3 linked regions of the Drosophila melanogaster genome follow. Changing the gene in region 3 together with the main gene of any one other region gives a genetic interaction. Each region holds a gene or a part of one and is shown on either strand. Other genes may lie near its edges. The genes, in order: Cul1, Nrg and prd1.

Region 1 (3,754 bases), on a different chromosome or scaffold from region 3:
ACTTGAGATCTGTCAGGTTTTTGGACGAGAGGGCGACCAAGGAGTACATCCGTTTCAGATCATCGTTTCGGTCTGCGTTGAGCAGATTCTGAAACTCGGTGTGAAAGATTTTCAGATGTTTTTCGATAAGAACCTGAAAGACATTGATTCGGTTAGTAGGCGGCTTTAAAGTTGGACACGGTAGGCAATCCCACCTCTTCGCATGTGGACTTCAGCACATCCGCTGTGGTCTCGTGCAGATAGGAAAGACCGTTCTTTGAATTAAAGCCGCGGACGCGCTGCGTCTCCTCCTCCAGCCTGTTTTCGACGTGCTTCAGATACTCGGTGACCGTGTTGGTGGACAGAAAGGCGTCCGACTCCTTCTCGTAGAAGGCTGATGTGTCTGCGATGAACTTGTTTTCAAAGTTTTGCTTGTAGACGGATAACTTCTGCTGCTCGGCATCGGTATCCTCCTCGTTAAAGCTGAGCTCCACGTAGCACTCGATAACGTCGCGGACCAGCGACCGGTTAATGAGCTTGCCTTGACGCTCCTCCTCAATGGACTTGAGCACTGCCTTGGTGACCGGCTCATTTAGCACTTGGAACAAATGTCCCTTCCAGGCGACGAGGGCCAGTCGGTAGATCTTGTAGATACCCTTCTGCCCCTCCTCGCACTCGCGCTTCACCCAGTTCCGATTCAGGTAGTTGCAGATGCCGTCCAGAACGGTACTGGAGAACTGATACGACTTCCACTGTTTGGTGTAGCGCGACAGGAGTACCTCCTCGCCGCTGATGGCCTTGAACTTGGTGAGCAGCTCGCTCAGGTATGACTTGAGAAATTGTTCCAGCCGGTCGTACAGCTTCTTGCCCACCAGCTGCGCTCCGCCTGTCTTTCCGCTGCTCCGTCCGCTTGGAGCCGCGCTCACGCTGGTGCAGTAGTCATAGACGTGAGTGTAGAAACGCATGTACTGGCTGCGGGTGAGGGACTTCTCGTGCTCAAACACCTGCATAATGCCCTCGACCAATTCGCTCCAGATATCGTCCAGGTTGACGAGTTTCTGTGTGGTCTGGGAATTGCCGGAGCGGTTCATTCTGGCGGCGGTGGGTTGTGGCAACGGCCTTCTGCCTTCTTCCACTGGAGGATGCTGTCCCTGCAGTGGCGCTGGGCTGGAGAAGGCAATGACCCTAGGTGGCGAATGCTGCGCGGGCGACAGGGGATTGCTGCTGCTTTCCAGGTGGCGTCGTTTCGCGGCTCTCGTCCTTGGAGTTGTGGCCGGAATCTTGGCGAATCGGTGTTCCAATTTTGGAATTTAAAGTGTCAATCTGCAGATGAGAGAATCGGTACAAAAACGGAATGGGATTGGGAATGTAGTAGGCCTCGCCACGTTAAAAGCGACGACCCGAAGGTCGCCTATTATGATCCAATGTCACAGCAATAAAAGAGAGGCTTGCGGAATACACACACACACACACATGCACGCACAAGCTGTAATGCAATGCGCGGTGGTCGGACATGCCCTGCAATGTAGGGTATTGGCCAATCGCATGGCAGGTGAAGCCCCACCACCGCCCCCGCTATCGTTAGATCGTGTTCGAAAACCCAACTTCCTGGTTAAATAAACACTCGCATGCACACATATGCAGTCGCCCTCGCCTTCACACACACACCCGCACCCACACAAAGGCACATAAAGCCAAGAGAAAAGATAGCGGACATAACCATTTCACAACTAAATTGTTAACATTTTTTTCGATTTTTCACATAGCTCCCTCCAAACGAAATTTATTTTCCTGGTAAATTGAGCCGTGCGACTGAGTTTTCTTTTCGTGACGTCGTGATGGATTTGATTTCCCCTTGGAGCACACACACTTTTTCTCTTTTGTTCGCCATTTTCAAAGCACGAAATCCCGTCTCTTTGCATTTCCCTCATTTTGCTTTATATTACCTGTTGCCAGACGCTGCTAAAATTAAAACTAAAACTAAATTAAAATTGTGTTTCACTGCTTTGCTTATAATTAAATTAATTTTTTTTTTCTGTGAAAATTGCTAACTTTCGTTTATTCCTAACTATTAAAATGTGTGACCGTTCGGCCATTGCGCTGCAAGGCCCTCGACGGTGGTATCGCTTAAGACCAGCTATCGTTGGCGATCTATTTATTGGGCGCCACTATTGGTGGCGATCTCATTTTTCAGGGAATTCTTTACACGGAAAGCAGTTATATTATAGTTTATAATATCAAATATCGCTGTTAGGCTCTTCAAAGCGTGATGTAAAATATCGGCAACGCGGTTCGTATCTTAGATTTTACAAATCCGTTAGCGGTTACAGAAACCTTCTTATAGATGTCATTTTCCTGGGCACACTTCCTGGAACTTGAGAACAATCTATACTTTATATAAAACGATTGGTCTTAGCACTTGCATAATAAAACCCTTTTCAAATAATTAGGGTATGCTTATATAGTCTTATACAGGTTCACCCTAATGCCCGTACGAAACACAACTCCTCCAGGACTCAAACCAATGTGACCGTGTATAGAAGGCATACGCATTTACTTCAATTTCGATTCGTTTGCTTTGACATGTGCGGCAACTCTGACGCCAAGCAAAACAAAAACAGTGCAGCAAAGAAATTTAAAAGGTCATTGTTTATGCTTAGAAGCGGCTATATTTAGTAATTTTGATAGTTGGATACGAAAAGATGTCCTGTCGCTGCTTCTGCTTAGTGGCTGCAGCACTGCTGCTGCTGTTCTTCCACCAGCAATCCTGTGACGCAGCCACCCAGACGCCCCAAAAGACGGTGGTAATTGCGGAGCAGAGTGCGCCGGCTGCTGAGGTGGAGGCCAAAAAGCCAGTCGTGAAGAAATCGCAAGCAGAGAATCCTCCGGCAGGACCAAAGGATTCTATGGTGGTCGTAGACGATGGCGGACCTGCTCCGGTTGCTCCAGGTGCTTCGGTTGCCACACAAGTTTCACCAGGAGATGCCAAGGCACCGGAAATGGTGCAGCCTCCGGGAGGTCTTCCCGTGGATGATGTTCATGTTGAACGCTCTCCCATGTCCCCCGATGTGGACTTTCCGGGCCAGGCTGTTGTCTACATCCTCGTGGGAATCACCAGTACTGCAATACTGCTGCTTATTATGAGGGTTTATAGGTGAGTTAATGAAGGACATATCCTAGAGCTCTAGACTAGAGTCCAGAAAAGCATGAAAGGTTATTTCAAAGTCTTCCTTATTATTTTGTAATGCAAAGGTAAAACAGCAAAGAATAGATTTTTAAGGATTTCAAAAGTTTACAGCGATCCTTTATCGTGCCTTGAAATTAAAATTTCCAGTAAATATTGTTAGAATACTAATTTAAAACTAAGCGTAATGTTTAAATATGTAGCTTTAAATATTCTTATCGGTGGACTATATGCAAAACAGACTACCTATATATACTGAATTTTACTTTATACATACATACCTACATTATTAAGTTATTATACTAGCAATTTTTGGTGATAAGACTAATCGAATCGCAAATCATTGCAGGCTCCGACTTTCCCGGGCGGAGCGCAAGTACGGCGTGCAGGGCGACCGCGCCAACCAGGAGCTGACACCACTGCCCATGGCCATCGAGGACGTGAATAGTGACGAAGAGGACCACACCCTGTTCGAGGTCAATCGCCAGAACATACGCATATTATGAAATAGCAGACACATGCACACGCCAAAGATCCGTTTGGTCGCACCGCCATTTCCGACACTTCTCATCAGAACTTGCCTTGTTTCGT
Region 2 (3,754 bases), on a different chromosome or scaffold from region 3:
ATGTATGTACATACATACATACATATGTCATTATAAACCCTCCGAAAACACAACGCTAATGTGCTGCGATCGTTTCAGGTGATGCTGCTGCTGTATATTGCCCACATCATTGTGCACGCGATGTGGAAGTGGAAGATCGATCCGGATAACTCGGCCATACCCTACCTGACGGCCTTGGGCGATCTGCTCGGCAGCAGTCTGCTGGCGGTGGCGTGGCTCTTCACCATGTCGGTGGGCATGCAGTACGGATCCGGAATGGAGACACTAAACGCACCTAACTAATGTAGCTAACGAAATAGGGAGTACGGAGTAACGTAGAACGATAAACAAGGCAGCCACACATACACACACACCATACAATATAAAGAACTGTTATGTACCTAAAACAAATATACAGAAAACATAGAAATTGTACGTATAGCCAGCCTCCTCCAGCCACCCAAAAATCTTAAATCCAAGACAAAAAAAAAAAACCTCCCAACACCAAACGGAAACGGAAACGGAAACCGCTATAAAACGAACTAACTTTTAATGATGCATGTCGAATGCTCGAGGCGAGAGATATTAAGAGATATGATATCATTTTACATTGTGTCCTTCTTCACATGGCTTTTGCTTGTGTTCCTTTTGCTCTACCGAGAAATTATGTGCGATTATGGTATATATACAGGCTATATATAGGCATATGTAGAATTGCAGGCCGCTGCGTCATATTTTTTAAGGCTTTTAGGACAATATTATACACATTTAAAGAAAAGTATATACATTGTATAGGGAGAAAAAGACGACGAAGAATTACTAAAAGAACATTTACGCCACGCAAATTGTTTTCTCCCACTTTGGTTCTTGATTCTTTCGCTCTTGATTACCTTAAACAGCCAAATAATAATTGCAAAACGTAGACGTAAATAGAGCCTACTTAAATCCTTAATTTACACTTAACCAATTATGTAGTATTAGCGCAGATTTGATTTTTGCAAGTCTCGCTTTCGATTTTGTTTTTTTTTTTAATATTACTTTTCTCATTGTCCCCTTCCATCCCCCTTTCCATTTCCCCCCCGCAGAGCGCGAGCGATAAAAAGAAATAGGAGAAGCAATAATTAAACCGCGAATTGCGATATATATGATTGCAAATTAGTTAGGACGATGGAAAGGAAGTGTGTATGCAGGAGTTTGTGCGTTCTGCTCCGCATCAAAAAGTGAACAGGGATTAAAATGATGAGAATGAGAGACGTTCTGAAAGGAAATGTGATCGATATTTAGTTATAACAATAATAATAATAATAATAATAAATTAATTGAAAACGTAAGAGAAAAGGCATCAATATTGTGTAATACTTGAAACAATAATACCAATTAAATAAATATGTTGGAATAAACGAAAGAAATCCAAATAGTTTCAATATCTTTATAATTAATTATGTTTCTGTTTAGCGTTGCTCAGAATTGTAATTAAAACGTAAAACCATTTGAATTTGAATATTTTGGCGCCCAGTTCATCAATCGATATATCATTCATGTTATGGGTAGCATTGAACACACTATCGATAAGAGTCTCTAAAGAGTTACAAATATCGATAAGAGCGTAGGTTATTTAAAAGTATATCGCATCCCTGGTAATCAATCGATAGTTGGTATATCTTAGATAAATATCGATAACCGTAAACCAGTTTGTCGGTGATGCCACCCCGCATTCCGTGCGTCCGATTGTTACCGTTCGCGAGGCTGGCAGTTCCTCTCCGCATTCGAAAAGAAAATATCCGCGCTGCTGGTTGTGTATGTCCGCCAAATCGTATTTACTGAAAACTACGCCGAAAACACCGCGATACATATTCGCAGCCGAGCGAATATATATCGTTATTTGGGTGTTTAAGCACTAACTTTATTTATTTTTTCCTAAAAATTCCGCGTGTATAACATAACTGTCCCAGTGTGTGTGTATATGCGTCGGTGTTAGTGTTAGTGAGCGCCGGGAATTGAAAATAAAATAGTAAAAAAAAGAGGAAAAAAAACGAACTGACGCCGCGTAGAAAATTGTCTTATTTACTCCGCCAATATATAAATTGGTTTTAGCTCTGCCTTCGCTTTTTTTTTTTAGTGTGCGTTCGTGTGTGTGAGTGTGCGGGTGTGCTTGTCTGGGAATTGTTTTAAAAAAATAAGAAAAATTGGTTGCCAAACGAAAGGAAGAAAAAAAAACCCAAAACAAAATTGTTTGTCTCCTTGCGTTACTTCCACCTTCATTTTTTGTTGTTTTTTTACTTTGCACACTGTGCCGCACCCAAAAAGTTAAATAGTTGATGGTTTTCATTAATGCAATTGATTAAAAATGAATGGCAATGCAATATTGTACGAAGCACACGATGACAACAAAAAAGGAGAAGGAGAGCAAATCGGAGGACGCCAAAAGCCACGCAAAGGCAACAACAACAGCAACAATGGGCGCCATTAACTGTACAAGAGCGCTCAAAACCTCAACATTTAAAGCTCTGTGTTTTTTTTATTTTTCCTATTTTTTTGTTGTATTCTAGTTGTTTTTGTATGTACATATGTATTTACCACGAAGCCAAAACTTCGTAAGCGAGTTATTGAGTGGCTCCTTCTCACTCGCTCCGTCTCTCACGCTTTGGCGCGTCGCCCTCTCCCGCCTTCCTCTCTCTCTCTTACCTGAGTTTTGAGTTTTGGATTCTTGAGCGCTTTTTGGCAGAATCCCGTCATCTAGTTGTTGTTGCTGCTGCTGGCTTCTATGACTTAAAGGTAAGCATTATGGATTTGAACCAAGTTTTCGTCCAAGGGCGTAATCTTAACTCCACACACACTGTTTTTTTCTTTTCATTTTTATTGGTGGCTCTAAAACAGGTTTTCTAGCAGCTAGCGAAGATGGTGACGAAGAAGAAGAGCGCAGACAATGAGCGCGAATTACGGCATGTGTGTGTGCGTGTGTCGGTGTTCTTGTTTTGGTGTGTGTGTGTGTGTGTGTGTGTAAGGTGGGGCAGCTTCAAGAGATCACTTTTTGAGCTCTTTTTACGTTTTTTGCCCTCTCCCTCGTTCGTCGCCACTTTGGCGCTCTTCTCGCATTTTCACATGTACTTTCCACGTTCCTAGCGATTTCTCTCTAAATTCTTTCGATTTCATACCTCAAGTACAGAGATAACGGGTTTTCCATTTACAATTTAGAAGATACAAAAAACAAACAATCTTTTAGCGTTTTCAGTTTTATTTTCGTCTAAGCCATTTAATTCATTTACTTTAAAATTCTTTAAATTTAGCAATATCTGAAACAACTGATTTTCAATTTTTTTCAATGATTCTCAATTGCAAACTGAATTGAGTTTAGTTAGGTAAATATATACATTTTGTACTTCTCTCCGCTATTTTTTGTGGTTTTTGCTTTTGACCATGCGGTCATCGCGACGACGTCATCGTTGTGAATAGGTTTATATATATGTATGTACATATATGCATATGTATATGGCAGTTCGTTCCGCCCCAGCAACGCCGTCGACAGCAATGCCTCCGCCCCGAATCGACCCAAAAACGTATCAAGAAAAATAATAATAAATAAATAAAGAAATAACAGAAACTGAAACTGCGTCAACTGAAGCAGCATTAAAAATTAGCTAGTTAATAAATGCCCTTGTTGGCCTTTTGGTGTGGGGATGTCCGGCTAAAGATACAAGATACAATAAGTGATGAAGATATTACTTCACATGCTTACAACATATTAAAAGTATTTAAATAAAAAATATTTGCTAAA
Region 3 (3,754 bases):
CTAAGAGGCGGTGACTCGGCCGCCGGCCGCGATTTGTGCTCTGGTGTCTGTTCCAGCTCAGGGACGCATTCCACCACCGCCTGCAGGTCTTCGGAGCCCTCGGGAACTCCGCGCTCCGGCAATGGCATGGTAAAGATGCTCTTTAGCGATCCAAATATCATCTTGCTACTGTTGTCGAGCAGTTGGTGCTTAATGTCGTGCACGTTAAACTTTTTTACCCGCCCATTGAGATCCTGCTCGAGTATGACATTTGTATGTAGCTTAGTTTTCTTTAAGCAGCTTGATTTCGGCTTCTTCTCCTTATTCCATACGGACTTGACTTTGGGACTGTCAGCATCTCCGATATTGGGCTCTGAATAGTAGCAATTGTCACCTAATTGTGGGATAAAGATTAATGTGGATATACATCACAAGGATTTAAGCAGAATGTTATATAGCTTACCGATTAGATTGTTGTTAGCATTGCTCATACCAATGCAATCACATGAGCTGCTCTTAGCCTGCTCGTACTGCTTACAATTCGCATTGGAATTTTTGTCTTGTTCGTCGGAATCCAAACTGGAGTTGGAACTGCTGCACACGCACTTGTAAAGTTGGGGTTGCTCTTCCTGTTTTTGGGTCGCAGGGCCGTACTCAAAGACACCTGAGGTGTCATAGTGCAGACCGGGCGCCTCGTCCGTGTCAAAAATGTTGTCGTAGTCCAGCACATCCGAGCAGGCATTTCGGTAGACCAGATGTCTCTTTCGCCTGGCACCTCCGCCACCGGTAGCCTCCTCGCCATCGTCTTCCCTGCCAGCGGCACTGAGTTCATTAGGTCCCTCCGGACGTTCCCGATCCGGACACCAGGAATATCGTCCTGGAGCGCCGGCCACGCCCGCTGAGTTAGCGAAGGCCAACTTGCGTCCGTTCTTGTAGGTGATAAAGCCATGCTCAATGTGAATGTTGTCGGTACGAGTGTTCTTCAGTATGTCCTCGTGGAAGGACACTCGCTTTTTGGGAGTTTTGGAGGCGGACGAAGCTTTGTGCACTTTGCGACGGTATACAATCTTCTCCGTGGTGTCGAACGTAGAGCACTCGCTAATGGTCATAGACTCATCCGGCGCTGCAGTCACATTGGAGTTGGGATCCACCAAAGGGAGGGGCATCGGTCTAACGTTTTCCTCGTAGGAGCAAATGGACTCCACCATCACATCGCTGTTTTCCGAGTCCAGGAGTTGTACTCCCGAATCGCTGGGCGTGGTGTCCTCCATGGTGCTGCTGTTCAAGCTGGAGCTCATCTTGTCCATGCCCAAATTGTTGTTGGCCTTGGGCAACAGAGGTGATTCCATGGTCGTTTCGATTTTCGCACTTGTCAAGAGTTATCTACGCAGTGATTTTCGTCTATTAACCTACGGAAAATTGTAAAAGTCGGTAAACCATTATTTGTGTATCTCGGCGTTCTTGCTATTAATCAATATCCACAAGTTGCACAATGCGCCGCAGCAAATCGCGCCAGTGCACAAAGGAAAATGACCCCTGACCCAGCACCCCCTTGAAAATCGCACCGGGATTAAATTCACACACCGCTGCTTCTGTCACTCACCTGCGATTGTATCGCAGGATTCCATGTTACTGTCGATCTGGGTGGTTTACGTTTCCTTTTACGCTTGCTTTAAGAGTTTTATGTGCAGATTTATCGCCACTTGTACATTTTAGAATTGCCAAAAAAAAACGTCTTGGCAAGTGAAACAATCAATATTTTGACCTCATAGAGTTGCCAGTTCCGCGAACAGCTGATTGCGCGCCAGAGCTGCCAGATAAGAGAAGAGGTTGGCAACGCGGCCTGTTACAGCAACGGGAAGTTCCGGTTTTCAAATAATATTTTTGTAAATTTTAAAATTCAACAATTATTTAACACATTATGTAAAATGTTCCTGAAGAGTTAATTCAATTTTAAGACAAGTTTGTATTCGGCTTTTATTTAAAATATTGTAGAGCACGTATTTGCATTTCAAGAAAATTGGGATTTAAAGTTAAGAGCAAACCCAGAACAGTTTGTGAAAACGTACTTCGAAAGCAAATGCCGGAACATGCCGATAAACCCATTTTTGACATCGACAGTTGGCGCCCAGTTCGCTTGTTTCGCGCAGTCAAACGGTTTTTCATATTTCACAGATATTATTCGCAAATACAGAGTGGACATTTAAATTAATGCCCTTGTCAGTGGGTGCGAACATCATTTCCTCTTTGCCATTTCGCTAACCGGGGTCAGTTGTCAATTTGAAAAGTAGTGTAGTGTGGGCGAATGCCAATGAAAGCGAATGAAACCTTAGAAATCAATTTATCACACTTTGCAGCACATCACAATCGTCGCGATAACTCTGCCGTTTCTTTATTGGTTTTTGCTGCGCGACGAGTAAAATATAATTCCTCGCTTACTAATCCTCCGAGCAAGTTCATTCTCAAGCGCACCCAGAGATGAGCTACTTTGGGAATTGACATGGACTGCGGAGCAATGAGTGCCAGAGGAACAATATCAAAGCCGAAGGTAGTGTGTTCATAATGCAAAGCCCAACTAGCAAATTGGTAGAATTCAGGTGCCTGATTGCGTTGGCAATATATTTGCACGCGCTGGAGCAATCGATCCAGCACTGCCATTGTGTTCATGGTTACAGGTGAGTCCGAGTGCGTTTGCCCAGTTTCATCAGATTTACGCCACAGGGCTGTTCTGTTCCACATATGCAGAAATAACACGGAGAGCGCCGAGCTGGTCTCCCACTACGAGTCGAGTCTTTCGCTCCCGGACATTTTGCCCATTCCCTCAAAGACGTACGACAAGAACCGGGCTCCCAAGCTCCTCGGCCAGCCCACAGTAGTCTACTTCCATGTCACGGTCCTCTCCCTGGACTCCATTAACGAGGAGTCTATGGTCAGTAGAATGTGTTCATCTTTTCAATACTCATCACTCAGCAAACACTAATTGGCTTATCATGCTCCTTTAGACCTATGTGACGGACATCTTCCTTGCACAAAGCTGGCGTGATCCTCGCCTGCGGTTGCCTGAGAACATGAGTGAGCAGTATCGCATATTGGATGTCGACTGGTTGCACAGCATTTGGCGGCCCGATTGCTTCTTTAAGAACGCCAAAAAGGTCACCTTCCATGAGATGAGCATTCCCAATCACTATCTCTGGCTGTACCACGACAAAACGCTGCTCTATATGTCCAAACTCACGTTGGTCCTGTCGTGCGCCATGAAGTTTGAGTCCTATCCGCATGACACGCAAATCTGCTCCATGATGATCGAGAGTTGTAGGTGGAAATGTAATGGTTATCTACACCCTGCAAATCCCGTATCGCTTGGAACTTTCCATTCCGCTTCTCGAATTACAAATAATCTGTGTTGAACCGAGTTTTGATTGGCAGTATCCCATACGGTGGAAGATTTGGTTTTCATTTGGAACATGACCGACCCACTTGTGGTTAACACGGAGATTGAGTTGCCGCAGCTAGACATATCAAATAACTACACAACCGACTGTACTATAGAGTACTCAACAGGTAAGACTAAACTATTAAAAGCCATTTTTTTCAATATAATTTATATTTATTTTATCTCTAGGTAACTTCACCTGCCTGGCCATTGTGTTCAACCTGCGCCGACGCCTGGGTTACCATTTGTTCCACACCTACATCCCCTCGGCTCTGATTGTGGTCATGTCTTGGATATCGTTTTGGATAAAACCAGAAGCGATACCCGCCCGTGTAACTCTGG

The links.
Region 1: of prd1 (region 3) and Cul1, changing one enhances a phenotype caused by changing the other (phenotypic enhancement), as found in Drosophila melanogaster (one study listed by BioGRID).
Region 2: of prd1 (region 3) and Nrg, changing one suppresses a phenotype caused by changing the other (phenotypic suppression), as found in Drosophila melanogaster (one study listed by BioGRID).

What each region holds. Positions count from the first base shown.
Region 1 is NT_033778.4:7,915,280-7,919,033, reverse strand, and holds the start of Cul1 (cullin 1), read right to left. Parts: upstream 2,081-3,754; 5' UTR 1,926-2,080; intron 1,857-1,925; exon of another isoform or gene 1,700-1,856; intron 1,303-1,699; 5' UTR 1,071-1,302; coding exon 195-1,070; intron 134-194; coding exon 1-133. Other genes in the region: CG12159 (uncharacterized protein), read left to right, coding at 2,682-3,133, 3,513-3,669. UniProt on the Drosophila melanogaster protein: Core component of multiple SCF (SKP1-CUL1-F-box protein) E3 ubiquitin-protein ligase complexes which mediate the ubiquitination of proteins involved in cell cycle progression, signal transduction and transcription.
Region 2 is NC_004354.4:8,515,645-8,519,398, forward strand, and holds the start of Nrg (neuroglian), read left to right. Parts: upstream 1-1,843; 5' UTR 1,844-1,865; exon of another isoform or gene 1,866-2,754; intron 2,755-3,754. Other genes in the region: CG33181 (uncharacterized protein), read left to right, coding at 79-282. UniProt on the Drosophila melanogaster protein: Essential for septate junctions. Septate junctions, which are the equivalent of vertebrate tight junctions, are characterized by regular arrays of transverse structures that span the intermembrane space and form a physical barrier to diffusion.
Region 3 is NT_033777.3:11,785,041-11,788,794, forward strand, and holds the start of prd1 (pruning defect 1), read right to left. Parts: upstream 1,975-3,754; 5' UTR 1,583-1,974; intron 1,389-1,582; 5' UTR 1,329-1,388; coding exon 443-1,328; intron 374-442; coding exon 1-373. Other genes in the region: HisCl1 (Histamine-gated chloride channel subunit 1), read left to right, coding at 2,542-2,654, 2,725-2,908, 2,982-3,291, 3,406-3,540, 3,602-3,754.